Stegostoma tigrinum: one gene and its partners. The protein of the gene in region 4 interacts with the protein of the main gene of each other region in a pairwise test. Links are inferred from orthologs where the notes say so. Each region holds a gene or a part of one and is shown on either strand. Other genes may lie near its edges.

Region 1 (7,382 bases), on a different chromosome or scaffold from region 4:
CAAGGCAGAGTCAGAGGAATCAGATCTGGTGTGAAAACACCCCAGGAGAAGCTACAGGGAAAAAATGGGCCTAGGTCCCAGGACGTAGAGGGGGAGGGAATGTCGTGATTGGAATGACATCAGTCAGGCAGACCTCATGGATTGGGGCTGTTAATCTGGTCTAATCAGGGAGTTCTAGCTGACCGATATAAACAGAAGTGTCTCCTTAGAGAAGGAGCACGCGTTGTCCAACAATACTCTCTCGATACTTTTCAGAAGAGATGGGCACTGCGGGGTGTGGAGTGCCTTATTTCCCTTCCCCTCACTTTTTTTCCTTTCAGGTAGGCTTTGCCCCGATGGGCTGTGCTTGATACTGATTCTTTGGCTGTTTTTCTTTCTGCTGGTGGTATGTTAATAAAGTTATTTGCAAACCTGGAGTTTTTCTTTAAACTGTGTCTCTCACCTACACATGCACAACAAGGGTACTGGAGAACTGGGGGGGTTGGGGAAAAAAGGGGATTAAATAACTGGGGGGGGGGAAAATATGCGTATATATATATCAGGAGATTAGAAACTCCTCTGCTGAAGTGACTGACTGAGCTGGCAGCCAAAAAGAAATAAACAGTCTAGGAGCCAGCTCTGATCTAGCTGGGTCAGTGTCATGTACTAGGCACATGTAAATAAAGAATGACTTGATGATAGGATACCAGCCTTCATGGAGTTATTTTAGAACCAAATAGTGATAAAGCTATTTTAGATGTAGTATTGTTTACTGAGACCTAATTAATTCATAATCTCATTGCAAAACGTGTAATGGTAAATACAGTTGAATTTCATACGTTTGAAAGTGACAAGACTCTTAAAATTTTTAAATAAAGCCAATTTAAAGAAACAATTCAAAGTATTCAGTGAAAATAAATTCCACTTAAAAACGAACAAAACCTTAACAAAATAGATTCATCCAGGCCTTAATAAGACATTAAGCATAGCATCAGATTAAAATAGAAGGTTTATAATATTGCAAGGAATGGTGGTAAATTTGAGGAATAAGAGTGTTTTAGATTCCAGCAACTGATGATTAAAATGTTGCGACAAGAGGGGAAAAAAGTAGAAAGCAAAGTAGCCAGGAATATATTAAAAAATTGTAAGAAGTGTAAATGTTACGCACAGCTTCCCTAATGGTTATGTAAGCTTTGTCATCCGTTTAGATGAGCTTCTTACCATGAGCAACATTATTAATACAGTCCAAATATTTTCTGTCCTTTTCATCAAACATATATTGCCCCTGAGCTCTGACAATCTTGATAGGGTCATCAGGAAAAAAAAGCCTGCAAGAAGATCTGAAAATAAAATGTAGAGATCACAATATAACTAAATCATTTATAGATTTTTGAACCTTTTATTCTTTTAATCTTTCCTAATGCTATTTTTAAACTGCACTATACGTTACCATTAAAACAAAACATGAAGTCTTTGTAACACAATGCTGTCTTAATGAATAAAAACACAAAAAACAATAAACCTTCATTCTAGTTAGCTGTCCACAGTACAGGATTTTTAAATATATGCTGGTTGTTCATAGAACAATACAGCGCAGAACAGGCCCTTCAGCCCTCGATGTTGCACCAATCTGTGAACTAATCTAAGCAACCTCCCCTTACACTATCCCATCGTCATCCATATGCTTATCCAAGGACTGTTAAAATGCCCCTAATTTGGCTGAGTTAATTATATTGGCTGGCAGGGCATTCCACACCCTTAGCACTCTCTGATTCTTTGTACTGGACACTTATATCCTCTGAATTCTACACCATGGCCCTTCATAGGTTCATATTTGAGGAGAATGAAGCATTCACCTGGAGCTCAGATATGCCTCAAAGTATAATCACACATTTAAGTGTGCTATAACATCTCTTTTGTAGTTATGTGGGTACGGGTAGGGATGCATTGGTTAACGTTTTTAGTTGACACTGAAGGATTTTTTAAAGAAATTCTATTTACTTGTAATCTCAAATACACCAAATTTTGTAAAATTGAAGTAACGAGAATCAGAAGAACTCATTGGGTTAAACTTATGATAAAGGGAGATTTGTGGTTGTTGAACACCATTCACCACAGGCCAGGAACTCTGATGCCTCAGTGCAGCATTCCAAGCCCAAATATCTTCAGTGCTTTGTCAATGAGCTTTCCTCCACTATAAAAAGGTTAGAAATGTTCAGTTTACAGTGCAATTCATATCTTCTAAGATACTGACTCAGTCTGACCACATTTACTGAAAGAGTTGGACATTTAGGCTTTGTACTAAAATTGTGGCACGGAACATTTGCACCAGACAAGTGCTAAGTAAAAACCATTCCCAACAAAGGAAATTTGAACCGTTTCTTTTGATGTCAAATGATATTACCAATAATGAATATGCAACCATCAACACCCCAGGATTTACCATTGACCTGAAAGTTAATTAGGAGAGCAACATAAATGCTGTGGCTACAACAGGAGCTCAGAGGCCAGGATAGAAGAGGACTACCTGCCCTTATTTTGATGGCTTGTCTCACGTCTTTTAAAGGCCTTTTTGTTTCAATTTTAGGACAGCCCCATGACTGACTAGGCTGCGCCTGAAAGTTTCCTTTGTTTTTGTCGCTGCTTATTTTGTGAGCGCAGACAGTAAAGTTGTGGCCAGTTACAAAGCAGGAATTAGATCTATTCCATCCCACAAACTAGGCGTACTTTATTTTGTTTCAAAAAGTTAGCCATTTGCCTGGATGAAAATAATCCAATAAGGCCATCTACTTGAAGGACAATTCATTCACTACCTTCAACACTCTCGCCACTTTTTCTTTGATGAAGGGTCTCGGCCCGAAACTTCAGCTTTTGTGCTCCTAAGATGCTGCTTGGCCTGCTGTGTTCACTAATCTATCCGCTAGCCACCCTTTAGGAGCTAAATTTAGGAACAAACTGTACGTGAATGTTACATAAGCAGCCCTCCAGGAATGTCTCCAATCAGCTCATCTACTCAGTAATAACACTTTCAATTCTTCACGCTACTTTACATAAACAGTGAGGGGACTGATACAAGGACCTGCAATTCGCTCATTGCTGATAAGGCTGAAACAAACCGCAAACATGGTAACATGGACTTTACTCCGCCTAGCCCCGTTATAAATCGCAGCGAGAGCACACCTGACTGAATACATACGCGATGTACTTCTTTCGGAGAGTTAAGGTTTCTTTTTTGTCGTAAAGTTCAGAAGCCATGCTCGGCTACAAGTTATTGGTCTGTCCAAGAGTCACATCGGTCTTGCCCTCTTCCTCTGCATACGTCAGCACTTGGCATTTGTTTTAGCAGAAGCTGGATTTCGCCCCCCCGCGGTGATACAGTGTACCACTGCTGCACGGTCCTGCTAGTTTATTTGGCATTTGATTGATAGGGCGCGGTCATGCAATAACGTAATCATGGCGTTATAGAAGAAATACCACTAATGTGTTTACCGCTCGAGTAGTTCGCATGGTCTTAGAGACACCCTGTTCTACCCAACAAGTAAGCTCGTGGACCCGGTTGTTTTGAAACAATCGTAAATGCTTGTCCCGAAAATGCTTCCAAGAAAACCAAATGATTATGGTCCGTATAGATAACAATATTGTCCTTATTGTTGATAATGTATATGCCAAAATGCTGATCAGCCGAAGCAAGACCTATTGTCTCTTGTTTCAGTAGTTGAATATCTTTTGTTCACGTGGTAATTTCTTCAAAAAATAATTGACAAGCCATTCATCAACAGCCAGTTCGAACAGCTTTGCATACTTTGGCACGGTTTAAAACAGTACCATTATTGGTACAGCTTTCAAATTTTTAAAGGGAAGTTAACACCCATTCAAATTTCCAGCTTTTTAAAAGTGCAACAGTGCACTTTTAAGTGTGATAGAATCCACTCGTGCCAAAATAATGCATAATTTCACATTTTGTCTTCTACATGGAAAATCAAAGCAGCCTGTACAGCTGCTTCTCTAAGTGTGATTTGACCGTGTCCCATAGTATGGTACAAAGAAGTCACCTTGGCCCTAGCACATCATTCTTATCCATATTTACGGCTAACTTTGCTTTTCACAGCCAAAGAATTTAATCAAGTGTGTAAATGCTCTTCCCAGGCTGAGCTATAAGCAACCAAACGTAAACGACAGAATTACCAATCCTTGTATCTCTTTATCAGTTAACCATTGAAACATTGCTGGTGCATTTTTTGTTCCAAATTGATACAACTTTGGACCAGGTAAGTCCATCTGCTGTAACAAAAGCCAAAATTTCATCGCCCACTTGGTTAAAAGAACTTGCATTTAGTAACTCTATTTTAGGAATGGGCGTGACCAAATAATTTGACACAATCCTCCAGTTTTGGTATAGGATATGAATCAATTGTCATAACCATACTGACTTTATAATAATCAACTTGGAATATTTGTGACTCATCCAGTTTTGGCACCATCATGATGTCTCCAGCTACTTTGATCCAGTTCCATAAAGTCATTGCCTATCATAACCTTTCTGCGTCTGAGCTAATCTCTTTGGATTGAGTCTAAACAGGTTTGCTTTATAGATATTGCATTCCCCACATTAACATCACGTATAACCAAAACGGCCTTTCCTGGCCTATTCCCATGGATTCATTTATAATTCTGTGTTAGCCTTTGTAAGTCACTTCAGTAGTTTTCAAGAAGATAAGACATGATGTTATCTAATCTTTTAGCTTCCTCTGTATTTTCCAGTTTGATTTTTGGAAATTAACTTTTGAATTTTCCATTTCAGATTCATTCTTCCATTGCACTAGCATTTCTCTTTAACTCTCTACTTCCTTCGTTAGACTAAGTACACTTTCTCTCGATTGCCATCCCTATCAGTGTATCTTTTCAGTACATTGACCTCACACACTCACTGACATTTTCTTCTGTCTGAAGTGCTTATTACATAATTTATACCATTAAGTCTCTCCTTAATTTGCTAAAGTCCACTGAGCCTTGCTTTTAATGGTTCCCCACAGACAGGCAACAACCTTCCCTCCTGCAACAAAATTTCAAAAAATCTCTGGCCTTTTTGCCTGTTCTAGTTTACATTATTTGTTGACTTTCCTTCAAATGGTTTTTTAGTCAACTCACATGTGCTAGTATGATTCTGTCTAAAATTTGAGACATCAGTTGGAAGTGTTGTTTCTGAACTTTAGTTTATTAACTTTCTGAAATCATTTTAAGTGGTCATCTTATTTGAAAGAGACCAAATTCTATGGACTCATTCCTCTAATGGCAAATAGTAACAAAAGAATACCCAAAGGAATTCTGATACCTGGTTTTTGGTAGGGATCCTACATAATCAGACATCACATGACACTAGATTAAAGTCCAATAGATTTTATTTGAAATCACAAACTTTCAGAGTGCAGCCCCTTTGTTAGGTGCAGCACCTGACTGAACCTGATGAAGGGGTAGTGCTCCAAAAGGTTGTGAGATTTCAAATAAACCTGATGTTGTGTGACTTCTGTCTTTGTCCACCTGGGTCCAACACTGGTACCACCACATTATGGCTACCATCCTACATAACCTATTAAGACCCTGCTAAATGTTACCACAAAAGCTAGTATTGGAAATACCCATTTCTGAAGAAGGGTCTATGCCTGAAACGTCAGCTTTCATGCTTGTCTGATGCTGCTTGGCCTGCTGCGTTCATCCAGCTCTACACCTTATTATCTCAGATTCTCCAGCATCTGCAGTTCCTACTATCTCTGAAACAATTTTAACCCCACTGCGAAGCCTCTTCTAAGGATGCCTACTTTGAAGAAGTTACTCTCCTCCCTCCGGAAAGACCTCAGTGGATCTCTCTCCCACTGTGACTCTCTTGTAATCTCTTCGGCCACCCCCCATTTCTGAAGAAGGGTCTAGGCCTGAAACGTCAGCATTCCTGCTCCTCTGATGCTGCTTGGCCTGCTGTGTTCATCCAGCTCTACACCTTGTTATCTCATTGGAATTAATAGTACAGATTTAGTTGAGGTTTGGGGTTTCCCTACAACCTGACAATTATATCTGCTGCTTCACTGATCTTGAACATTTGATGCTTATCTAAGTAACTTAAAAAACTTGCAGAAGTGTTACCTGTGAATTCTTCCATGATCATAATTTCCCTTCCATTTTCCACCCACTAGCTTGAGTGACCTAAACCACTGATTCTACAGCATTTCTTATTCCCTTGCAAATTCCACAAATGTCTGATTTGGCTCTTTCTTATAAGTCCTAAATTTCAATTGATAAACTTCAAGCACAAATTCATAAGTTTTGAGTATTACCTCTTTGATAGTTTCATACGCTGCAGATTGTTTTTCTGACAAGGTCATTGTTATACCTGTCAAAACATTGTAGTCACTTCACCTGTTTAGCTGCCTTCTCAGTTAAGGTAAAATATCTTCTGACTCCATCCTCATTAAAATTTAGGCACTAAGTTTAGAATTTTGTTTAATCAAATCCCTCATTGGAATGAGAATCATCTGAATTATTGCCCCTTCCTCCCTTTCTCATTCTAAGCTTTTCTTTTGCTATCTCATGTTCTTTAGTTTCCTTTTCTTTTTGGAGTTCAAATTTTCTTTATTCCATTTCTCCTATTTTTCTCTGTCCTGTCTTTCCATTATTCTCCATTTTCTTTTCTCTTCACTTCCAAGTTTTTAAATTTCTCTTTTTCTAAGTGCAGTTTTGTTTTTCATTCCTTACTGTATTTTAGCTAATTTCAGCTATGGGATCCCAATTCTAAATATTGCACTCCAAGTTTCTCATACATATGAGATCTTGCTTTTATTTCTGCTGTCAATGTGCCTGCTAAAAATGTCAGTTTAGCTTTAGTCAAAGATCTTAAATAATTCTTTGACAAGTCTTCCACTTCCAGAAAACACTTAGCAACTTGAAAAACCATCTTTAAATTTTGCGCAATAAACTTCACCACAACACAGCTGCTGTATATCCAGAACCACTCTGTAGCTATGACTTTAACACGAAAGACACAGATCCCTCTTAAATCCAGTGAATTTAAAAATCCTATCAAGAGTCCCTGCTCGTTCTGAGCCCGGCTGATGTTAGAACTTGCACTGATAGACTATATTTTGATTTGTTTTGGTTGTAACACAGAGGTCTCTCACAGAAACGTTAAGTTCTGAGGAACGGTCGCTGGACCTGAAACATTAACCCTGATCTTTCTTCACAGATGCCGCCGGACCTACTGAGCTTTTCCAGCTACTTCTGCTTTTGTTTCTGATTTACAGTTTTTTCGTTTTTTTTAAAAAAGACCTCTCTTATCCTCTACACTGGAGTTTGGATCATAAAACTATCAATGTGCATAAAATCCTATTAATTTGAAAACAATTTCTTAGAGAAAT
Region 2 (7,496 bases), on a different chromosome or scaffold from region 4:
CTCCGATACTTCCGCCATCTACAATCCATCTACAAAGACATTTTTCCTTCCCCATCCTTCTGGAGAGACCACTTTTTCCGTAACTCCCTTGTCCGCTCCACACTCCCCTCCAACCGTACCACACCTGGCACTTTCCCCTGCACCTGCAGGAAGTGCTACACCTGTCCCCTCACCCCCATCCCAGGCCCCAAGATGACTTTCCATATCAAACAGATGTTCACCTGCACATCCGCCAATGTAGTATATTGCATCTGCTGTACACGGTGTGGCTACCTCTACATCGGGGAAACCAAGCTGAGGCTTGGGGACCGCTTTGCAGAACACCTACACTCGGTTCACAGTAAACAACTGCCCCTCCCAGTCGCGAACCATTTCAACTCCCCCTCCCATTCCTTAGACGACATGTCCATCCTGGGCCTCCTGCAGTGCCATAATGATGTCACCCGTAGGTTGCAGGAACAGCAACTCATATTCCACTGGGGAACCCTGCAGCCCAATGGTATCAATGTGGATTTCACCAGCTTCAAAATCTCTCCTCCCCCCACTGCATCCCAAAACCAGCCCAGCTCGTCCCAGCCTGCCTAACCTGTTCTTCCTCTCACCTATCACCTCCGTCCACCTCAAGCCGCGTCTCCATTTCCTACCTACTAACCTCATCCCGCCCCCTTGACCTGTCCGTCCTCCCCGGACTGACCTATCCCCTCCCTACTTCCCCACCCATACTCTCCTCTCCACCTATCTTCTCCTCTCTCCATCTTCAGTCCACCTCTCCCTCTCTTGCTATTTATTTCAGAATCCTCTCCCCATCCCCTTTTCTGATGAAGGGCCCAGGCTCGAAACGTCAGCTTTTGTGCTCCTAAGATGCTGCTTGGCCTGCTGTGTTCATCCAGCCACACAGTTTGTTATCTTGGAAGGGGAATCAACTCCTTTGTGAAAAGAGAAACAGTGTTAATATTTGAGTCTGAAATGTCTCTTCTTCTGAAGTCATACCAGGCTCAAAATATTAAATTTCTTTCTCCCTCTGTGGATGCTGCTCAACCTGCTGTGTTCTCCAGTATTCTGTGCTGGTTTCAGAGTTCCAGCATGCACTGTATTTTGCTTTTATTTGAATCAACTTCTTACTGTTGGCATCAGTCTGAAGCACATTGACATCATGGATAAGAATGGGAAGCAGCAATGAAAGTAACAGGAGATTTACCTGCAATATAAACAGAAACATACAAGCTTCTACAAGCACAAGTGGACATGCAAGGTCTCAGTTTAACATGTTATGCGTACAAAAATATCTATGATATTTTAACACTCCCTCAGTGCTACAGTGGAGTGGTTGACTACACTTTGCGTTCAAGTCACTAAAGTGATATTTGAACCCAGTGAACCAACACTGAGATTGAGAATGTCTATAAAGTGAACAAAAGCAACAAACACAAGACTGATGTATGGCGTAACAAAATTTACTTGCAGCATAATGGCTCAGAGGTTAGCACTGCTGCTACGCAGCACCAGGGACCCAGGTTCAATTCTACCCTCAGGTGACTAGCTGTGTGGAGTTTACACATTCTCCCCATACCTGTGTGGGTCTTCTCCCTCACTCCAAAGATGTGCAGGATAGGTGGATTGGTTATGCTAAATTGCCCATTATGTTCAAGAATGTGTAGATTAGGGGTGTGGACTTGTTGGGCTGAAGGGCCTGTTTCCACACTGGAGGGATTTGATGATAATTTTGACATTTTGCAGCAAAACTGAATACAGTAACATACTAAAAAGTTAAATCGGCAAATACAATATTAAAAAAGAAAATGCATTAGTATTTTGTGAAGATTGTATATTAAAATAAAAATGTACTACTATGTCACAAATGATAATGGAAATACTCATGTTTATAGAATCATAGAATCCCTACAGAAGGATGCCATTCTGCCCATCAAATCTGCATCTGAGGAGCATCCTACCCAGACTCAGCCACCTACCGCATCCCCATAACTCCACATCTACCATGGCTGATCCTGCACATCTCTGGACACTACGGACAGTTTTAGCATGGCCAATCCACCTAACCTTCACATCTATGGACTGTGGGAGGAAACTCACACAGACGTGGGGAGAATATGCAAACTTCACACAGTCACCGAAGGCTAGAATTGTACCCCAATCCCTGCAAAGGCTGCTGGCAGTTTTTGATGGCGTTCTATGTATTTAACAACTGTCTCACTTCCTAGTAGCAGAGGAATCCTTTAGATTGTTGAAAGTGTTCTCTGCTGAATACTTTTGCAAGCTTATTCAGTAGCTTTCAGCAGACAGCTGTCAAACTGAACTTGGAGAGAGAATATATGATTTAATAACTTACATTTACACAAAGAAATTGGAAACAAAAGAAAATGCATGTGACATCTGTTTCTTATTCTGTCTCTGAACTAAAAACATACTTAGTTTTTCAATATTATCAATTTCTAAGACCTCCTCCTCATTAGAACTACCATATAGCAGCTTTTTTAAAGCTGGAATTCATCTAGGTTTGACCATCATGTGAAAAATGTTTCATTCTTTTTCCTGATAATTGCCTGTTATACCTACACATTAAGCTTCTTTACGTAGGTTTTCCCATTAATGGTTCGAAAATAGCTTTTTACCTCATTAAAGAGACATTGACATTTTTTATTTAGGTTGCCCCCCAAAATATTATTGTTTCAAGCTTCAACTTTAATATTTGCAGGTGGTAATGATATTAAGTGGAGAAAAAAATACTGTGTCATTCCATTGAAAACGAGAGATATATAATTTTGAAATTATCAAGTACTCAGTTTGATTCATTGATTCTCAGAAAGAATATTGGGATTGAAGGGGACTCAGGTAATTGAAACATTTCCTAAGGAGGGATGTTGAAGGAACTGTGATAAATTTCCAAGTCAAAATGGTACATGACTAGTGTTCCATGTCCTTGTTGGTGCCCTTGTTGTCTTGGGTGGTGTAAGTCCCGAATTGGAAGGTGCTGTGGAAGTAGCATTGAAAAATGTTTGTAGTGCATCTCTAAAATGTACACACTCCAGCTAAATGTTTGAAGTGGTAGATATGGTGCAATTCACCTTGCCCTAGATCTTGAACAGAAGGAATTGTACTTATTCAGGCAAGTGAAAAGTAATGCATCACATTCCTGGTTTGTGCTCTGTAAATAGTGAAAAGCTTTGTTGAGTTAGGGGATGAGTAAGTTGTTGCAGAATTCTCAGCTTCTGACCTGGACTTGTGGCATGATAGAACATAGAACATAGAACATTACAGCACAGTACATGCCCTTCAGCCCTCGATGTTGTGCCAACCTGTCATACCGATCTGAAGCCCATCTAACCTACACTATTCCATGTATGTCCATATGCTTATCCAATGACGACTTAAATGTACCTAAAGTTGGCGAATCTACTACCATTGCAGGGAAAGTGTTCCATTCCCCTACTATATATGGTGGTTGTTCCAAGTTTCTGCATGGTCAAGGGTTACACACAGATGTTCATAGAGCAGGATTCAGCAATGCCTTTGAATGTTATGGGGAAGTGGTTAAACTTTCTTTTATGCATTGCTTGGAACTTGTGTGGCATGAGCATTGCTCATTTATTTATCTACACAAAAGTTGAAAGTTGTCCACATTGCTGCTGCATTTGGTTAGAAGCTTCTCACCACTTTACAAAATACTAATTTGAAACATTAACTGTGCTTTCTCCACAGATGCAGCCTGTCTTACTGTTCACAACACTTTCTATTTATATCAGTGATAATGGGAACTGCAGATGCTGGAGAATCCAAGATAACAAAGTGTGGAGCTGGATGAACACAGCAGGCCAAGCAGCATGTCAGGAACACAAGGTGCTCCTGAGATGCTGCTTGGCCTGCTGTGTTCATCCAGCTCCACACTTTCTAAATCCTCTGGGAATATATTTCAAATCTCTGAAGCATTTGTTGTGGGAAAAGCACTGCACCAAGAAACTGAAAATGACAGGCACTGAAGAGGAAGAAAACTTGACTTCTTTTGTTGATAAATAGAAAGACCGTAAAGGCAGTAATGTTGGTATAAAACAAAGAACTGTGGATGCTGGAAATCCGAAACAAAATAAATATTGCTGGAGACACTCAGCAGGTCTGGTAACATCTGAGAAATATTGACTCTGCTTCTCTCCACAGATGTTCCAAGTCAGAAATGTTATTTACTTTGCATTTCTTTTGTGATGGTAAATGCTCCGAAATCTCCTGAAAATGGTAGTCGCTTAGGCCGGATTTTTAGGCAGAAAGATATTCACTTCCGTCCGCCCGCCGCCAGGGGAAGGAAGGATCGTGCTGCGCTTGCGCGTTGAATCGCGCCGGATTGTGGGATACCGCGGAGCCTGCCCGTTGTTGTTGAAGGTTTCGGGGCGAAGACCCGGGAGTTTGCAGTGCCGATTAAATTATCTGTGAATTGTCATATATAGTTTATTTTCTTCTGTATTCTTAATGTCTTAGGTTCAAGAAAACGTCGTTGAAAAAATTGGATCGAGAAAGTAATTACTTTAAAAAAAATAAAACCTTTATTTAAAAACGCGAGATGGCTACAGACGTCATTCAAGTGACCAATGTGTCGCCGAGCGCCACCTCGGAGCAGATGAAAACTCTGTTCGGGTTTCTGGGCAAAATCGACGAGTTGCGGCTCTTCCCATCAGAGTGAGTAACTCCAAACTTCCAGACAGGCCTGGGGCCTAGCCCGCGTCGGATCCGCTTTTAAGACTTTTCCTTTTTGAGTGAAAGTAAATTTCTGTTGGGCGTACGTTTTATGAGCGTACGACTTGATATAATCCTTGAGTGAAAGTATTCACTTTTTTCTTCCTTTCCTCGTAAACGATTACGAAGTAGCAATTTTTCTCCTCTATTGTGTGGCGTTTGGACTCGCTGCCATCTCATACGCGTCATCTCCTTTATTCCCACCACATGTTCCAAGCTGTTTTTATCAGGATTCATATCGACGGTGTTCTTTGAATAAAAAAAATGAAACGAGAATGTTCTTATTTGAAAGATGTTTATTTGAAGGTACCCAAGCTTTGGAGGATTTATTATTACCGGGGTAAAGCAAAATGGCCGCCAATGTAACACCTTTCGTCAATCCTGTCAGACGATCCTTGTTTTCGATCGTTATTGTTCAATGATGTTGTGAACTTACTACTAATCATTATTAAATGTGTTAAACAGTGTTTTGAATAAAATTGGCTACATTTTGTGAGGAAAAGAAAAGCGCGAGCAGTTCAGAAGCAGACTTCAAGTGTCGTACGGCCTACACCTCGTGTTTCTTAAGTGTGGGGAAGTAAATAGGCTACTGAAGGAGAAATGGGCGTATGACAACACAAGTAAAGTGAAATTTTCATGGTCTTACAAAAGCCGTTAGCCATTGACTCAATTTGTAATTTCGGCCGAAAAACAGACGGAATTAAAAAATGAGAGATAATGGAAACTGCAGATGCTGGATGAGTCGGTTTTTATTTTTAAAAGTGAGAAAATTATAACTGATTTTATTGTTGTCAAGACTTGACAACATCTTTTGAAAGGAACGCACATCGGTAAATGCATATTACGTTAGAGAAGGATGATTCTGAACATTAAACATTTTATCCTTTTTCGAATATTGCTTGAGACTCTGAATCATTATATTTGTACAGTGTTTATTTATAATACTTGTATATATTTATGATTTGTTCTCTCCTGAGACTTGGTTGTTAAAGTGGCATTATTGGCACGGTGAACAGTTCCCTGTAACATTTTAATTACGTTGCTTAATTATCTTTTCAGGTATTTTCTGTTTGTTTCCTTAGGCAAAGATGTACATGCTTTAAACCTGAAGATTTAAAGCTCGTGAAGATTTGTAGCTTGGGTTGTGGATGAAGTTGTTGGCTTGCTTGCTGGGTTGGTTGTTGTTCAGAAATTTCGTCACTGTGCTACTTAACGTCATCAGTGCGGCCTCCGATGAAATGATGATGTTCTACTCCGAGATAATAGGAACTGCAAATGCTGGAGAATCCAAGATAACAAGGTGTGGAGCTGGATGAACACCGCAGGTCAAGCAGCATCTTAAGAGCAGGAAGGCTGACATGTTACGTTTCTGATGAAGGGTCTAGGCCCGAAATGCCAGCCGCCTTGTTCTGCTCCACTTGGTATTAATGTGATCCGGTCTGTTAAGTTGGGCTGTGTCATTTCCAGTTATGTTCTGCATGGGTTTGTATATTAGGTCTAATTCCACATGTTTGTTGATTGCGTTATGGATTGAAAACCAGGCCTCTAGGATTCCCCGTGTGTATCTGTGGCTGGCTTGAGCTACGATGGTCACACTGTCCCAGTTAAATTGATGGCCTTTATTGTCTGAGTGCCGAGACGAGGGACAGTTCGTCGTGTCGTTTTGCTACTAGCTGATGTTTATACACCCTTATGCAATCAAAAACGTGTGACATTAGACCCCACATACAAACCGATGCAGAACAGAACCGGAAGTGACTCACACCAGCTTAACAGACCAGATAGTAAAAATACCAAACGGAGTAGAACAACATTGCTTCATTGGAGGCCGCACTGGTGTTACCTAGCATGGCGTTGAAACGTCTTTGTCATAACTAGCCAGATCAGCGAGCAAGCAAACAACCTTAAACCCGAAGAATTTGGGTACGGATTGACTTAAAAATTTTTGAGGTTGTTATGCATAAAGATAGTTTCAAATATTATTTTTGTTAAACTTGGTGACTGATTTATCATAGCTACTTCCTAATTTTTGATATCAGAGGTATACCTCTTATCCCTTCATAAATCAGCTAACTTATTAACTAATGCTTTTTTATGCTCAACAGTTACTTGCTGGATAATGGTTTTCTGGAAGTTTTTTTTATGAACAAAGATGACTTAACCAGAGTCCAGAGGACAGCACTGCAGGGAAGAATAAATTATCACTGCTCGTAAAATGATGCTAATATTTAGTCCAGTGTCTAGATGATTTGGAAAGAAGAATAGGGTATTCCATAGTTCTGAGATGGTATAAGTGACAAGATTGGACCACAAGATTCAGGGGTGTCTCGGCAGGATATATGTGGAAAGCATATTTCCTCTTGTGTGAGAGAGCTAAGTGTCAATGCTTTAAAAATAAGGGATTAATCTTTTAAAGACAGGAAGATTTTCTTCCTACAAAGAGTCTTGGGACATTTCCTCAAAAGGTATTAGAAGCAGAGTATTTTGAATGTTTTTAAGACAAATGTTGATTAGATTTCAGATGAGTAAAGTATGAAAGGTTATAGGGATAAGTGTGAATTTTGAGTAAATCAACCAACCAAACTCTTATTGAATGGTGGAGAGTTAACTTCCTAGTTCAGATGTTCACATTATACTTAAGTCTTGATTCCGATGTTGGCACAAGAGACAAAATCTTAGATGGGATCAGGGTTTTGAGTTTGAACTTAGTGTAAAATAAGAGGCTGTGAATATAATCTCTGTTGAAAATAGTTTAT
Region 3 (7,231 bases), on a different chromosome or scaffold from region 4:
TATCAAATTGTCATGTTTGTGGCTTCCTGTCAGAACTGAAAAGTTCGAGACGTAATGACATTATGCAAGCCCAAAACAAAAAAAATCTGATCCACTGGGTAGAAAGATGCCAGAATTCTTGGGTATTGATTTTACAACAGGTAATGACAGATTCTAAGATAGTAGAAACTGCAGATGCTGGAGAAGCATCCTTAGAAAAAGCTTCACAGTGGGGTTAAAATTGTTTTAGAGATAGTAGGAAATGCAGATGTTGGAGATGCTGCTTGGCCTGCTGTGTTCATCCACCTCTTCACCTTGTTATCAATGATAGTTTCCAAATTGGGTTTAAGCTGATCTGACATTGTTGTTGTTGGATCTGAAAAGGTTAAGACCTACTTGCACCACTCACTGTGATGTTGTTGTGGGGATTTGGTTGGAAGTAAAGTAGGATTTTGTGCAAAACAGATGTTTAACTGATCATCCTAAAAGTTAGTGTAATAATGTAGTGTTTATTATTACGTGTAGATAGTTGCAGAGATGTAATGAACTATGTATTGTTTAATGTACACAATGCTTCTTATAAGACTGGAAGTGTCTATTGTCACATTCACTAAATGGTGTCACCCCAAAGAACCCACACACATAGAAAATATGAATGTCGGAGTATATATCATACAACAGCAAGGCGAGACCTGGTTACAGAGTGGTGTTAATGCTGGTATTACACCAGGCAATGACAAGTTTCTGAGCTTTGGAATTGCTGATATTACACCAAGAAATGATTGGTTTTCAAGTTTTTTTTAATATGGATATTACATCAGGTAATAACTGGTCATTGAGTTATTTAAATACGAATATCATACGAGACAGTGACTGCTCACTGTGTTGAGCTAATGCTAATATTACCCCAGCAGTGACTGGACATGAAGATGCATTAGTGCTGTTATTACACCAGGCAGAGATTGGTCACTGTGTTGAATTAATTATGTTAATACACCAGGTGGTGACTGGTAACTGAGTTGAGTTAATGTTGATATTGTACCAGGCAAAGCTGCTCACTGAGTTGTGTTGGTGTTGGTATTACAGCAGGTAATGCTGGTTAATGCAATTCACTGAGCTGTTACGATCAGAATGCCTCTGACAAAGGAGCTGCATAGGAGGCTGCTGAATATGATAACACCCCATAGTGTTGGGGTAAAGTGCTGGCATGGACAGAGGATTGGCTAAATGGCAAAAAACAGAGAGTGGGGATAAAGGAGTATTTTTCAGTATGGCAGCCAGTGACTATTGGAGTTCCACAGGGGTCAGTGTTGGGACTACAGATATTCACGTTACACATTAACCATCGAGTCAAAGGAACTGAAGATTTTGTTGCTAAGCTTGCAGATGACACAAAAGTAGGTGGAGGGACAGGTAGTGTTAAGGAGGTGGGGAGACTGAAGAATGAGTCAGACATGTAGGCAAGACAGCAAAGACATGGCAGATAGAACACAACGTGGCAAAGTGTGAGGTTATTTATTTTGGTAGGAATAAAAGAGCCATAGACTATTTTCTATTTGGGAGAAGTTTTGGAAATCGGGAGTGCAAAGATACTTTGGAGTCTTAGTTCAGGATTCTCTTAAAGTTAACATGTAGGTTCGGATGACGATTAGGAAGGCAAACACAATGTTGGCATTGATTACAAGAGGGCAAAAATATAAGAGCAGAGATGTCCTGCTGAGGCTGCATAAGGCTGTGGTCAGGCCACATATGGAATTTTATGAGTGGTTTTGGACCTAAATCTAAAGAAGGATGTGCTGGTTTTGAAGTTGGTCGAGAGGAGGTTGACAAGAATGATCCCAGGGATGAAGGGCTTGTCATATGAGGACTGGTTGAGGACTCTGGGTCTGTACTCAATGAAATTTAGAAGGATGGGAGGGATCTGATTGAAACTTAAAGGGTACTGAGAGGCCTGAATAGAATGGCCATGGAGAAGATATTTCCATTGATCGGACAGACTAAAACCTGAAGGCACAGCCTCTGGATGAAGGGAAGACCCCTTAGAACTAAGATGAGGAAGAATTTCTTCAACCAAAGGGTGGTGACTCTGTGGAACTCATTACTCCAGAGGGCTGTGGAGGCCAAATTATTGAGTGCATTTAAGACAGAAATAAGTAGGCCCTTGCTTAGCAAAGAGATCAAGGGTTATGGGGAGAAGGCAGGAAAAATGTATCAGCCGTGATCAAATTGAGGAACTGATTTGATGGGCTGAATGGCCTCATTCTGCTCCTATATCTTATGTCTTATTATGTCAGATAATGCTGCTCACTGAGCCTTGATGGTGCTGGTATTACACCAGGGAAAGCTGCCCACTGAATTATGTTATTACTGGTATTTCATCATGTAATCCTGGTTAACACTGCTCCCTGAGATGTGTTGGTGCTGGTATTACAGTAGGTAATCCTGGTTAACATTGCTCACTGAGCTGTGTTGGAGCTGGTTTACGCTGCTCACTGAGCTATGTTGGTGCTGGTTAATGCTAATTATTACTGGTCACTGAGAGGTGTTGGTGCTGGTTCACGCTAGTTAACCCTGCTCCCTGAGCTGTGTCCGTGCAGGTTAGTACTGCTTAACCGTGCTCCCTGAGCTGTGTCGCTGCTAGTTAACCCTGCTCTTTCAGCTGTGTCGGAGTTGGTTAACCCTGTTCCCTGAGCTGTGTTGGTGCTGGTTAATGCCTGTTAATCCTGCTCCCCACACAGTGTTAATGCTAGTTAGTGCTGGTTAACTGTGCTCCCTGAGCTGTGCTGGTACTGGTTAATGCTTGTTAATGCTGGTTAACTGTGCTCCCTGAAGTGTGCCAGTGCTGGTTAACTGTGCTCTCCACACTGTACCATTGCTAGTTAGTGTTGGTTAACCATACTGCCTGAGCTGTGCCAGTGTTAGTTAGTGCTGGTTAACTGTGCTCGTTAACCATGCTCCCTGAACTGTGCTGGCACTAGTTAGTGCTGTTTAACCGTGCTCCCTGAGCTGTGTTGATGCTTGTTAACCATGCTCCCTGAGCTGTGCCGGCGCTAGTTAGCGCTGTTTAACCGTGCTCCCTGAGCTGTGCCAGCTCTAGTTAGTGCTTGTTAACCATGTTCCCTGAGCTGTGCCGGCACTAGTTAGTGCTGTTTAACCGTGCTCCCTGAGCTGTGTTGATGCTTGTTAACCGTGCTCCCTGAGCTGTGCCAGCGCTAGTTAGTGCTGTTTAACCATGCTCCCTGATCTGTGCCGGCGCTAGTTAGTGCTTGTTAACCATGCTCCCTGAGCTGTGCCGGCACTAGTTAGTGCTGTTTAACCGTGCTCCCTGAGCTGTGTTGATGCTTGTTAACCGTGCTCCCTGAGCTGTGCCGGCACTAGTTAGTGCTGTTTAACCGTGCTCCCTGAACTGTGCCGGCGCGAGTTAGTGCTGTTTAACCGTGCTCCCTGAGCTGTGCCGGCGCTAGTTAGTGCTTGTTAACCGTGCTCCCTGAGCTGTGCCGGCGCTAGTTAGTGCTGTTTAACCGTGCTCCCTGAGCTGTGCCAGCGCTAGTTAGTGCTTGTGAACCGTGCTCCCTGAGCTGTGCCAGCGCTAGTTAGTGCTTGTTAACCATGCTCCCTGAGCTGTGCCGGCGCTAGTTAGTGCTGTTTAACCGTGCTCCCTGAGCTGTGCCAGCGCTAGTTAGTGCTTGTTAACCGTGCTCCCTGAGCTGTGCCGGCGCTAGTTAGCGCTGTTTAACCGTGCTCCCTGAGCTGTGCCGGCGCTAGTTAGTGCTTGTGAACCATGCTCCCTGAGCTGTGCCGGCGCTAGTTAGCGCTGTTTAACCATGCTCCCTGAGCTGTGCCGGCGCTAGTTAGTGCTTGTTAACCATGCTCCCTGAGCTGTGTGCCGGCGCTAGTTAGTGCTGTTTAACCGTGCTCCCTGAGCTGTGCCGGCGCTAGTTAGTGCTTGTTAACCATGCTCCCTGAGCTGTGCCGGCGCTAGTTAGTGCTTGTTAACCATGCTCCCTGAGCTGTGCCGGCGCTAGTTAGTGCTGTTTAACCGTGCTCCCTGAGCTGTGCCGACGCTAGTTAGTGCTGTTTAACCGTGCTCCCTGAGCTGTGCCGGCGCTAGTTAGTGCTTGTTAACCGTGCTCCCTGAGCTGAGCTCGCTGGCCAGGGAGTGCGGCTGCGCGCTGTCAGTTTCCGGCCGGGGATGGAGCGGGTCTCGGTCCGAGCCGCTTGGCCGTGCGGCCTGGGCCGGTTGCGGGTCTCGGTCACTGAGTGCGATTCGGATGATGGAGAGGTCGCTGCCTGGTAAGGGGGAGATCAGGGATCGGTTCGTGGTCTCTGCGGGGACCCGCCGGATCAGGGCCCCGCTCGGTGGGGAGACTGGGCCGGAGCCCTACTCCCACTCCGGGGAAGAGGGGTGTGTGCAGGCCCGGCGTTAGTGTAGTGCATCCAGCCCCTCACTGCCTCCTTCTATCGCGAGCCACTGGACTATAGACAAAACGTAGACACTAATACAAATCTTTTTAAAAAGACTGATCCGCTGTTTCTTCTCATTGTGGATTTGATTTTTTTAAACAGAGTCTTGCTATTGTGAGTTTATTTCGCCGCCGCTGATGCCACAAATACCGTCAAAATGCCTATGGTATCCCTTAGAACCATTGGCTATTTAATCGTTAATCTGAATGTAGGTGGGACTTACCCATGGAATACCCACCACAGCAGATTCTGTAGGCATTGCCTGGGGAAGCTGAATTTTCCACTCGCCCTGCTTAAGTGGCAGACCGCAGACGGTTCTGGTGAAATTAAGTAAAACTTACTTGGGCAACGTTGTGACGATTAAATTCATAGCCTAACTCCCAGCTCCTGATGGCTGACCCATCTTACTGCCTGTGGTGGTGCTGCTGAGTACTTTGGCTGCTTGTCACACATGACTGATTGAAAATCCAGATGTTGTTAAACAACTTTCCAGATTACTAGCACACAATAAAATTGGATAATAGACATAAATCCTGGGGTTTATTATCTTTATCTCCATTCATTGGTGGTAACAAATACACTTTAATGTTTTGTCTTTTTGGTAACATAATAAGCAATGTGATTTTGATGATTGGTCAGTTCTTTGTGATATAAAGTGATGTTAAATGTAGTCTACTTTTGCTACTCTCAAGCCTTGTCTGCCATTCAGTTAAATTATTGCTGATCTGCTGCCTCAATGCCACTTTGCTAAGCTATTCCCATATTACATTATGTTTTAAATATCAAAACAGCCATTACTTTCTGTGTTGAATGTATTCAATAATTGACCTTCCACAGCCCTCTGGAATACAGAATTCTGAAGATTCATCACCCTCTGAGTGCAGATATTCTCTCTCATCCCTATCATAAATGGTCCACCCCTTATAATGAAACTGTCTCTGGGTTCTAGATTCACTGGCCAAGGGAGGCTTCCCACTGACAATTACCCTTGCTCGTTTCAGATAAATCCCTGGGGCAGGCTGGATAAGAGTAACTTTAATGCTTTCTCTAGCAATCTTTTAAATCGCCTCCATTGACCTAATGCAGACTTTAACTTTTGTTAGCCATGTTTGACTCACCCTTTTTGTTGGTTTTGATGTCTTAGGGGAAGGTATATTTATGGTAAACATGTAATATTTATTTAAATATTAGCTATTACTTGCTTACCTTAAATATTTTCATATATTTTCCCATTCCACCATAGTAACTTATTCTCAAAAGAACTAGGAGGAGGAATAGGAAATTCAACTCCTTGAGCCTGTTCCACCATTTAACACAACCATGGTTGATCTCATCTCAGCTTCAACTGTCCTTTCCTGACTGTTCTCTAAAACTCTTCAACCCTATGCTAACTAAAAATCCATCTATCTCCTTAAATTTGCTTGACGTCCCAGCATTCCCTCTTGTCTAGGGTTGTGAGTTCCACAGATTCATGACCCTTTGAGAGAAGTAATTTCTCCCATCTCAGTTTTAAATCTTCTACCCCTTAGCCTAAAACTATGACCTCATGTTCTAGATTGCCCCATTTAAGGAAACATCCTGTTTATGTCCACTTTGTCAGTCCACTTCAATATATACCTCAATTTAGGTTTCCTCTGAGTCTCTAAACTCCGGGAGTACAATTTTATTGAATTGCAAACGGCATGTCGTAATTGTGAAGTATTTGATTTAATCAGTATTCAATTTTCACTTCATTGAAAATGTTGTGGTATACCAGAAATATAACACTATTTGAGATGGAAAGACGAAAAGAAAATTACAATAGGCTATAACTTTGAAATAAAATGTTTTACTTTAAGTTAAAGGTGACATTGTTCCCTTTGTTATGATTCAGTGCAGAACTTGTTACTTTGGAACGGCCTCAAACCAATACTGTGGAAACTCCATGTATACTCTATCTACGGTTCTCTCCTCAACAACCTGCTGACATAGTCTTTGTAGAGGTATGGAGCGAAGCAAGAATGATGGAGGTTTACACAGGAGAGTACTGCGGAACAAGCCGTGGCCTAAGACTAGACAACCTACATTTAAATGGGTAACGTTGTTTTAGCTCGCAGTATTAACCTCGAATCGGCAGTCAGCAGACTAATAGAGTTTGTAAAATATCAGCTGAGCACTCTAAATGATTATTATAAATTTTGCCATTAGTTAGATTCTTCTGATATTTCTCAAAGGTCCAATTCACTGCCTTTTAAATTCTCTAGTACACTGCCTATGAAACAACCAGAATGTCATTTAAAAAAAGACCATCTGACCTACTAGTGCTGCTTTTGGGGGAAAAAAATCTGTCATCTTTAACAGTCTGGCTTGTGTGATTCCAAATCCATTGCAATATACTTGATTTTTTTATGCTGTCTGAAATGGCTAGCAGACCACTCAGTTCCAGACAAATTCTCACAACCTTCTTGAGGACAATTAGGGCTGAGCAAGAAATGCTGACCTTATCAGTGTTGCCAAAAACACACACAGTAAAATAGGTCCACTTGCAGCTATGTGTAGGAGGATACAGTGGTTTATAGGAAGCTGTTTTTCAGTGTACAGTTCCATTAACAGATTGTTTACATTTAATGACATATTTGTTACTGTTAGACAATGGTTTGGTTTAAGGGGTGATGCTATGTGATTGTGTTTAAAGATCGAGACTAATGCTGGATAGTTTTGCTGTGCCTCCAAAAAGGTGATCACAACACTTCCAAATTTAGGCCTATTTAATAATACTAGTGCCCTATATACACAGTCCAAATTCCTT
Region 4 (8,138 bases):
GGGTGGTCGGTCAGGTGGTTAAGGGGATAGGTTTACTGTGGATGTATGGTAGGTGAGACAAATGGTTGAGGAATGGTTACGGTAGCACATGAATGCAGTGGATAGCTTGGAACAGTGGGCAAGATGGTATGAAGGTAGTCAGGTTGGCAACAAATGGATTGGGTCAGTTGGGCATGAGTCAGGGTGATTTGAGGATTAGGCAGGGTAATTGGAGTGTCAGGAGGAAAGCTTGTACAGTTGCAGGGGTAACTGGGGGGAAATCAGTGTAAGTGGCTGGGAGGTAAGGTTGGGGAGACAGTTGGATAGCTACCCAGGAGTGAGACCAGATTTTGTCCTGTTCCAACATTTCCTGGGTAAGTGTTCAGCAAATAGATGTATATGATCCAAAAAGTCTCCTACTATACCTGAGAATTGGAAACATTTTCGGAGGGCCCCAGAAACAAGGCATTGCAGACCAAAAGTTCAGATTCATCAAGTCCGGTGGAGTCCTTCCACTGGGACTTCTAAAGAATTCAATAACATACAGACTGGGCTTACTCCAGAAAATAAGTAAATGAAGACCAGGAGATCTGGGCTATTATTGCTAACTTATGGAAACCAGATGACATCAAATCAGTATTTATTTCAGTCATTTACTTTCATAAATTAAAGAGGTGCATAAATTGTCCCAGTGTTCAGCAAGGTATCATTATCTTTTTGATCTCACTGGACTATTATCAGCTGGCACTTCCAGTAATTTGACGGCAAAAAAACTAAACTTGCAATTGCAAATCAAGCTAATGGGGGAGACTGCAAATTCCTTGTTCCAGACAAATCTGATCCCACTGATCCAACAATGATATATATCTCTTGTTTCTTATTTACAAAAATTGCAAGGATTTCTAGTAGCTATATGTACATCACAGTACAGAATAACAGGGGGTTTCACTGATCAATTTTGTTACTGCTGAACAAAGCAATTCTAAGTACAAAAATGAATATATAAATTAACATCCTCACAAGTACCCCTTAAATGAAATTTTTGGTGCGCAAAGTGTTAACATTTCAAATTAAAATAAACATATTCAAAACATTCAGATATTTTTCTTTGCTAAAAGTACACAAACAAAACTCAATCCAGAATTATTAAGTGATTGTAAAAATGACTTTTTATTAAAAAAACACAATATGGCAGTATTTAAAAATCAATAGTAAAATCGTTCAATTCGAAAGACGTAAAAAACATACGATTAAAATTGTTTTAAATAAAAACTGCTTATCTTAGGCTTTTCCATTAATTTAAAATGATTGCTGTTGAGATGTCATAAAAATATAAGTAAATCACAAAACAAGTGAGCTCTACACTTTACCAACGCAAGAACGTTTTCTAAACTGACCACTTCTACTTCAAATATTTGCAAGGTTAAATAGAAACTTGAGTCAATACTTGATGCATGGACAAAACGACCTGAACGACTGAACAAATTAATAGATTAACGAGAAGTACATCAATATTACAGCGGTGAAATGAAATTTCATTGTTAAATATCAACGTATTATTCGCCTTTACAAAAACAAATTACTGCGGATACTGGAAAACGGGCAGGTGGTGGACAGAATCAATTAAACATCTGTTTGTTAGTGCTCTCAGAGTGGCAGGTTTTATGTTGTCCATAAACAAGCACATATAGATATATATAAATATACACATACGTCTCCCTTCTGAGCGCAATAACAAACACTCCTGAAAGCATGGCGAGACGTCTAAAATGCACGAAGTCAAATATCAAAGCAGCCTCAGCAATCTATGCAACAAGCGGCTCTCCCCACATCTCAATCCAGCAGCTTCCCAGATAACGGTCACATCAAAAACGTTCTCCTGCAGACTCTGATTTATACCAGCGAAGCGGTATGGGAAAAATAAATCAATCACCGGAGTAGGAAGATTTCACGTTAAAAAGACTGAGTTGGGAGGGGTAGGAGGCGCCTGCATTTCTCTCACACACTCCCTCCAAGATTCTTCGTCGTCAAGATACCAATAACTGCGAAATAAATATCAAATGGGTTTTCCTTTACGTTTACTTTACCTTTCGTGGTGCAGACAGCAAACACTAACCATACAGCGCCATACAATTCCAAGAAATCGTGCAAGTAACTGAATGTTTCAAGGCGATTGGTGAACATTCACTGCGAGAACTTCGGTTTTAGTGTTCAAGATTTGTACAGAAGATTACCAGTCAAATAAACTTGCTTAGTCGGGGAGCCACATTGACAGGACAGACATCCAATTACAATTCGAGATGCCACAAAGATCTGCCCACCGACGAAGGCAGGCGTGAAAGGCAAACCAATCAAAGCGCACGACAATGTCACCGCTTCCCCTCCTGTACCCCCAAAATTGCAGCAAGTTAGTGTGAAGCCGACCTGAGGAAACCTTTCTGTCTCTTAACGTTGCCTGCACGAATGGGGAGAGCTGTAGGTGGTTTGTATTTACGAAGGGGAGACAGAAATGAAGAGACAAAAATAATTTCCTGGAGGAAGTGAATGTTATTTCCCGTCATTATTCACAACGACCATGTTTCAGTCAGCTGTTTCTTTCGGAGCACGTATGATCAGGCGGCTGAGATAGGCCATCCTGCTGCGGACAGTGGAGGGGCGGGGAAAAGCTGGGCTTTCGCGGTCTCCGCGGCGGCTCGCTCCGAGACGCGGCTTTCAAAAGAAACCGAAGAAGTCGCGAGCTTCAGAGCAGTGTTAGAGTCGCGCGAGAAGTTGTCATGGAGAAAGATGGCGAACTCGAGAGGTAAACAATATCTAATGACTTCAGCCAGAGACTATGTTAATGTCATTATCAGCAGCACAGGGGCTTACTGGCCCTGTCCTGTGTGCGGTGTCTTGGCAACCGACTCTAAACAAACCCGATTCAAATTTTGTGTAAGAGATAATGGGAACTGAAGATGCTGGATAATCTGAGATAACAAAGTGTAGAGCTGGATGAACACAGCAGGCCAAGCAGCAGCTTGGGAGCGCAAAAACTGACGTTTCGGGCATAGACCCTTCATCAGAAACCTTTCTGGTTACCTGTTCGATATCGCGTTTGTTGCAGGCCTCCTCGGGCGTAGCGTATTCCCAACTCTGTATACAGAATGTGTATATCTGTAAAAAACATACCAGCCCGGTGTGACGTGTTCCGCCTCGCAAATCTGGCATGTCATGGCCATTCCCCTCCCGCCCACAACCTCAGCAAGGGTTATGGGTCAGCTAGTGCCGACATAAAATTCAGGCTGCCCTCTGACTATACATGCCAGAGAATATGCTAGGGTTCAGAAACCTGGCACGTTACCATCCATGATAACAAGGTGTAGAGCTGGATGAACACAGCAGGCCAAGCAACATCAGATAAGCAAGAAAGCTGACGTTTCATTTTCTGAAGAAGGGTCCACACCCGAAACGTTAGCTTCCTTGCACCTCCAACGCTGCCTGGCCTGCTGTGTTCATCCAGCTCTACACCTTGTAATCTCAGATTGTCCAGCATCAGCAATTCCTACTATCTCTGAATCAACTTTACCATCAATGACGTTACCATGTCGCTAGCCTCGCAACTGGAACATACTGTATGAACAGCACTATGCTTATCACGATCCTTCAGTTACTGCTCATATAATTTTGAAAATCAAATCAGCACGTGGAATAACACTACAGGTATCCTAATTGCATTTTTTTTGGAATGTCTATTCAGAGTTAAACTGAATTTGTTGCACTTGTAGCACCTAACATAGCAACTGAAATGAAACAAAGAACTGTGAATGCTGGAGATTTGAAGCAAAGAAAAACAAAAGAGCTGGAGAGACTCAACTGATTTGGTGGCATTTGTGGAGTGAAAGCAATGTTTTGAGTCCAGTGACCCTTCTTCAGAACATAGTAATTACTTAATTTCATGTGGGATGTAAGGCCCACTATGACATTGTCCAAGTAACATGTATTTGCTTGACCATTTGCAGTTTTTATTGTTTACGTAATGTGCCACCCCTGGTCTACTCCAAGGCTGGGCAACTTGAGGTTGGCAGTATTTACATTTTGGTGTTCTTAGGGACATAACTGTTGTGCAATATCTCTGCCCAGGAGACCTCGGTTCGAGGTCTCTGAACCTCTGAACAAGTTGGTTAGAAGACCTCTCGAGGTGTAATATGCCCAAGATTTGTGGGGTGGTCAACACCACAGCAAGGAACTCAGCAAATCGCACCAATCTGGCCACCCTGGGCTGTATTATCTGCATACATCTGTTTCAGTTCTTTTCAAGGCCTGTCTTGAGATTTTTTTGAATTTCAAAGTCTACTTTGTTCATTTCCATTAACTCCATTAGATGATACATTCATGTGATAACATGACTGTCTGTGTTGGTGTTGATTTTTTTTCTTCAGTTTTTATGTCATTTTAGTAATCCAAATGGAAAGATTGCAGTACACAGCAGATTTTCCAATTTTAAGACAAGGATTAATTAGTTCAAAAGAGCATGGTAACCATGTGTCAATGCTATAATCTGAAGTGCTATTCCCCATTCCAAATTACCCTTGAAAAGCTAGTGGTTAACTACCTTTTTTTGAGTACACCTGAGTAGTTTGCTAGTCACTTTCAGACGTCTGCTAAAAGTCAATTACATTGCAGTGTATTTGGATTCACACGTAAGCCTGAATGTTTAAGGTTGATCTCTTTCCCAAGAGAACATTAGTGCATCAGGTGTTTTACTTTACAACAGTGCAGTTGTTTCATTTAAGTTTAAATTCCCTTGCAAGAAGGGAATTTAAAACATAAAAGTATCTTGCCACACATCTGTCTTCACTGCTCCATGTTAGATGCCTTGATATCTTATGTCTTATATTAGAACCCAGATACCATTTGCTGTTCAGTGCTTAACCCACATGGAGGCTGCATTTACATTGCAGAGTCAACATGAGGTTGCTCTGACACTAATTACAGTTAATGTGTGGCCAAAGCAGAGAAACACCAGAGTGAAGTGGAGCAGAACAGCCTGTAGGAGGGCTTTTGAATCAGTCAGGACGCAACGTGGACAGCTCAGTTTAAAATTCATGACAAAAATTAAAACTGATTTCTAGCAATCTTGAACTTTACTACAAATGCATGCTTAGCAACAACCTAACTAAAGTCAGTAATAAATTTAGGGTAAAAAACACTTAAAGATGTGGCATCAGTATAAGGAAATGGATTAACAAATTAAGTTGTTTGGAGTGTATGATCCACTATTATCCAGGTTTAACAGTTGGAAATGATGAGGCTACAGCTTTGAGGCACATGCCAGACAGGGAATACAATGTGCATGTCTTGTTTGCACGCTTTAGTCTTTATCACCATATCACTCTCCTCTTTCCTGGCTCAGGCTCACCACAGCTTACTAAGGCCACAGTGCCAGAAGCTGGGCTTCATGCACACACCATCCTCATTCTATCTCTCCCACATGCGGGGATGACATTTCTCTCATTTGTCATCCCTGCATTGACTTTTTTTTTGCAGTCTTTTTAGGGCTTTTGAAGGCAAATTCATCCATTTTTTTATAGTATTATAAACTTTGATAAACTTGGTTCCATCAAGCATGTTAAGCACGAGCTGAAATTTTATTACTTGATTCTGTGCCCTTTAAAGCTGCATTATTTTTATTTCCTAGCCATCAATGTGGATCAGTTCTCAAGGGACAATACTTTTTTTCTATCTATAGACACTGTTGAGATATTTTCTGAATTGAAGGTCATGCATTGAAAAGTTGTACCGTATATAAAGGGGAAAAAATCATTATTTTTGAAATGTTATCATAGTTATGCAGTCAAAATGTGCAATCATGAGAGACAATATTAATGCCTCTGAAGCATCCAGTGCTAATAGTAAAGAGAACTGTTCGAAGTAGTTTCCTAAACAATAGAAAGATAAATTTGCATCAATAATTGGAAGAAAATGTCCTTTGTCAAAGAGCAGAAAGCTGCATTATACAGGTGTTAAAGGGCTTATACAATTGGCACACTTGCACTGCCCCTGAAAAATTGCATAGTTGACAACAAGATAACGTAATTCACAATTTCCTGAGATTAAAATCATTTGTCTAAAATATTAGTGCTGATTTACTGAAGTTAGTTTATATTTATTATAAACAGCACAGTTTCTATAATTCTTCATTAGCTTTCATTGTGTGAACCGATTTGAGGTTTTGTTGTTGAAATAAGAAGTGTTGTTTTTATTCAAAATGTGGAATTTATTCTTCTTTTCTAAAGGTTTTGGAGTAGATTTGTAGCGCGGGTTGTGGGTGTTGAGGTTGGTTGACTGGCCGAGCTGGTTTGATGTTTCATTACCCTGCTGGGTAACATCATCAGTGCAGCCTCTGATGAAGCGTTGGTGTGTTTTCCCGGCTGGTTTTTAAAACTCTGGAGTCCGGTGAGCTGGATTGCCTCACTTCCAGTTTTCCTTCGTAGTGGAGTGTATATGGTGGGACAACACCAAAATCCTGGGTAAGCAGAGACATGCACAGGAATTCATAGAAGGCTGGTACTCCATGAAGTATCAATAAACACGTAGAATTCGACCCCCCACATACACGCCACTACAAAGGAAAACCGGAAGTGAGGCAATCCAGCTCAACGGACTCCAGAGTTTAAAAACCAGGTGGGAAAACACACCAATGCTTCATCAGAGGCTGCACTGATGATGATGTTACCCAGCAGGATAATGAAACGTCTGCGGAACAACAAACCAGCTCAGCAACCAACTTCAATTTTTTTTTCTGTATTGGAAAGCATAGGATTATGTTTACCTCGTCAGCAAGTAGCTCTACAGGACATTTTGATTTATATCTGAATGTTAGTTTTATCAGCTTTGACATTAAGTCGATGCCATGCCCACTATTTCAAGTGAATGTAAAAGAAAACTGTCATGCCAGTCCTTCATGGGAAGTTCTGGTCAATATTTGTTCCTCATTCAGTACCATTAAAAATACAGATTTACTAAACATTACCATATTACTTTTTCTGGGGCTGTCACATTTCCTACATTCCAATACCTGTTTTGCTAGGAAGAAACAATGTTGAGGTTCTTAAACAGTGTAAATCACATGAGGGCATGAAATGTGCTGTAAATGCAAAGTTTTCTTTACCGCGCGTAGATTCAACTTTTTACTATCTTTTTCCCAATTTGGATATGTATTTGACATTTAGGGTGACTGCTGTAACATTGATTTAGAAAATCATTTGCTTACCAAGTATTCTACATTAGCTGTACTGTTCCAAGAAGCAAAGAGGTGCTGAAATGGAAAATGCAAACAATATCATTTATATCCTTTTGGCTTGTTTTATATATATATATACCGGTTTTTAACTGTGGCTAATGCAAGTTTAAGAGTGGAAAATATTTAAGTATTTGTCCAGTGCTTTCATGTTTGACACAAATTAGTTTGTAGCAAAATAAAGTTGCAACTAACTTAAAAATGATATGTAAACCTTCACCTAGAGTGGCTTAGTAACACCGTTGTTGACCAAGCTGGCTGGGTCCTAAAGGAAAAAGCAGCCTGATATTATGTTGTCTGCCATGTTTTTGAAACATAATGTGGGAAAATGTGAGTTTATGCACTTTGGCAGGAAGAATAGAGCAGTTGGATATTATTTAAATAGAGAAAGACTCCAGAAAACTGCAGCACAGTGGAGATTTCAGTGTCTTCATGCATAAGTCACCAAAGGCGTTCATTGGGTAATAGGGAAGGCAAATGAATTGTTGGCCTTTATTTCCCAGGGAATGGAGTGTTAAAAATGAGGAAGTTTTTGCAAAAACAATACAAGGCACTAGTTAGACCACATCTATAATACTGTGAACAGTTCAGCTGCCTTCACTCAGGAAAGAAGCAGCAAAAGCGGAGAGGTCCCTAATGTATACACCAGCAGTAGAGCTGCTTCCACAAAAAGAAGTGTGACATCACAAGAAAGCTGGTACATAACTTGTGAGCATTTCTCTCATCTCTTGTGACTGGATATTGATTTAAATTGAAGCCATAAATACATCTTACAAACTTTACATAAATAATTAATATTTTAGAACAGCAAAACTGAATTTCTTCATTTGATAGATTTAGAGTTCTGATTATTTTGTCTGACATAAACAAGAGTAAGATT

The links.
Region 1: the proteins of lnx2a (region 4) and 5-phosphohydroxy-L-lysine phospho-lyase-like interact in binary tests that used the Homo sapiens proteins (3 or more experiments, as listed by UniProt). The link is inferred for Stegostoma tigrinum from reciprocal best matches to the Homo sapiens genes LNX2 and PHYKPL.
Region 2: the proteins of lnx2a (region 4) and srsf11 interact in a two-hybrid assay, tested with the Homo sapiens proteins (3 studies listed by BioGRID and IntAct). The link is inferred for Stegostoma tigrinum from reciprocal best matches to the Homo sapiens genes LNX2 and SRSF11.
Region 3: the proteins of lnx2a (region 4) and c20h10orf88 interact in binary tests that used the Homo sapiens proteins (3 or more experiments, as listed by UniProt). The link is inferred for Stegostoma tigrinum from reciprocal best matches to the Homo sapiens genes LNX2 and C10orf88.

Annotation. Positions count from the first base shown.
Region 1 is NC_081366.1:36,575,122-36,582,503, forward strand, and holds the start of 5-phosphohydroxy-L-lysine phospho-lyase-like, read right to left. Parts: upstream 3,318-7,382; 5' UTR 3,235-3,317; coding exon 3,176-3,234; exon of another isoform or gene 3,174-3,175; coding exon of another isoform or gene 3,160-3,173; intron 1,320-3,159; coding exon 1,201-1,319; intron 1-1,200.
Region 2 is NC_081361.1:52,972,995-52,980,490, forward strand, and holds the start of srsf11 (serine/arginine-rich splicing factor 11), read left to right. Parts: upstream 1-4,356; 5' UTR 4,357-4,567; coding exon 4,568-4,683; exon of another isoform or gene 4,684-7,496. UniProt on the Homo sapiens protein: May function in pre-mRNA splicing.
Region 3 is NC_081373.1:28,390,323-28,397,553, reverse strand, and holds the start of c20h10orf88 (ATPase PAAT), read left to right. Parts: upstream 1-4,139; 5' UTR 4,140-4,171; coding exon 4,172-4,272; intron 4,273-6,316; coding exon 6,317-6,517; intron 6,518-7,231. UniProt on the Homo sapiens protein: ATPase that regulates mitochondrial ABC transporters ABCB7, ABCB8/MITOSUR and ABCB10. Regulates mitochondrial ferric concentration and heme biosynthesis and plays a role in the maintenance of mitochondrial homeostasis and cell survival.
Region 4 is NC_081359.1:78,386,688-78,394,825, forward strand, and holds the start of lnx2a (ligand of Numb protein X 2a), read right to left. Parts: upstream 3,195-8,138; 5' UTR 3,058-3,194; intron 2,780-3,057; coding exon of another isoform or gene 2,754-2,779; exon of another isoform or gene 2,099-2,753; coding exon of another isoform or gene 2,067-2,098; intron 462-2,066; exon of another isoform or gene 405-461; intron 1-404. Other genes in the region: si:ch211-140b10.6 (protein POLR1D-like), read left to right, coding at 2,754-2,779.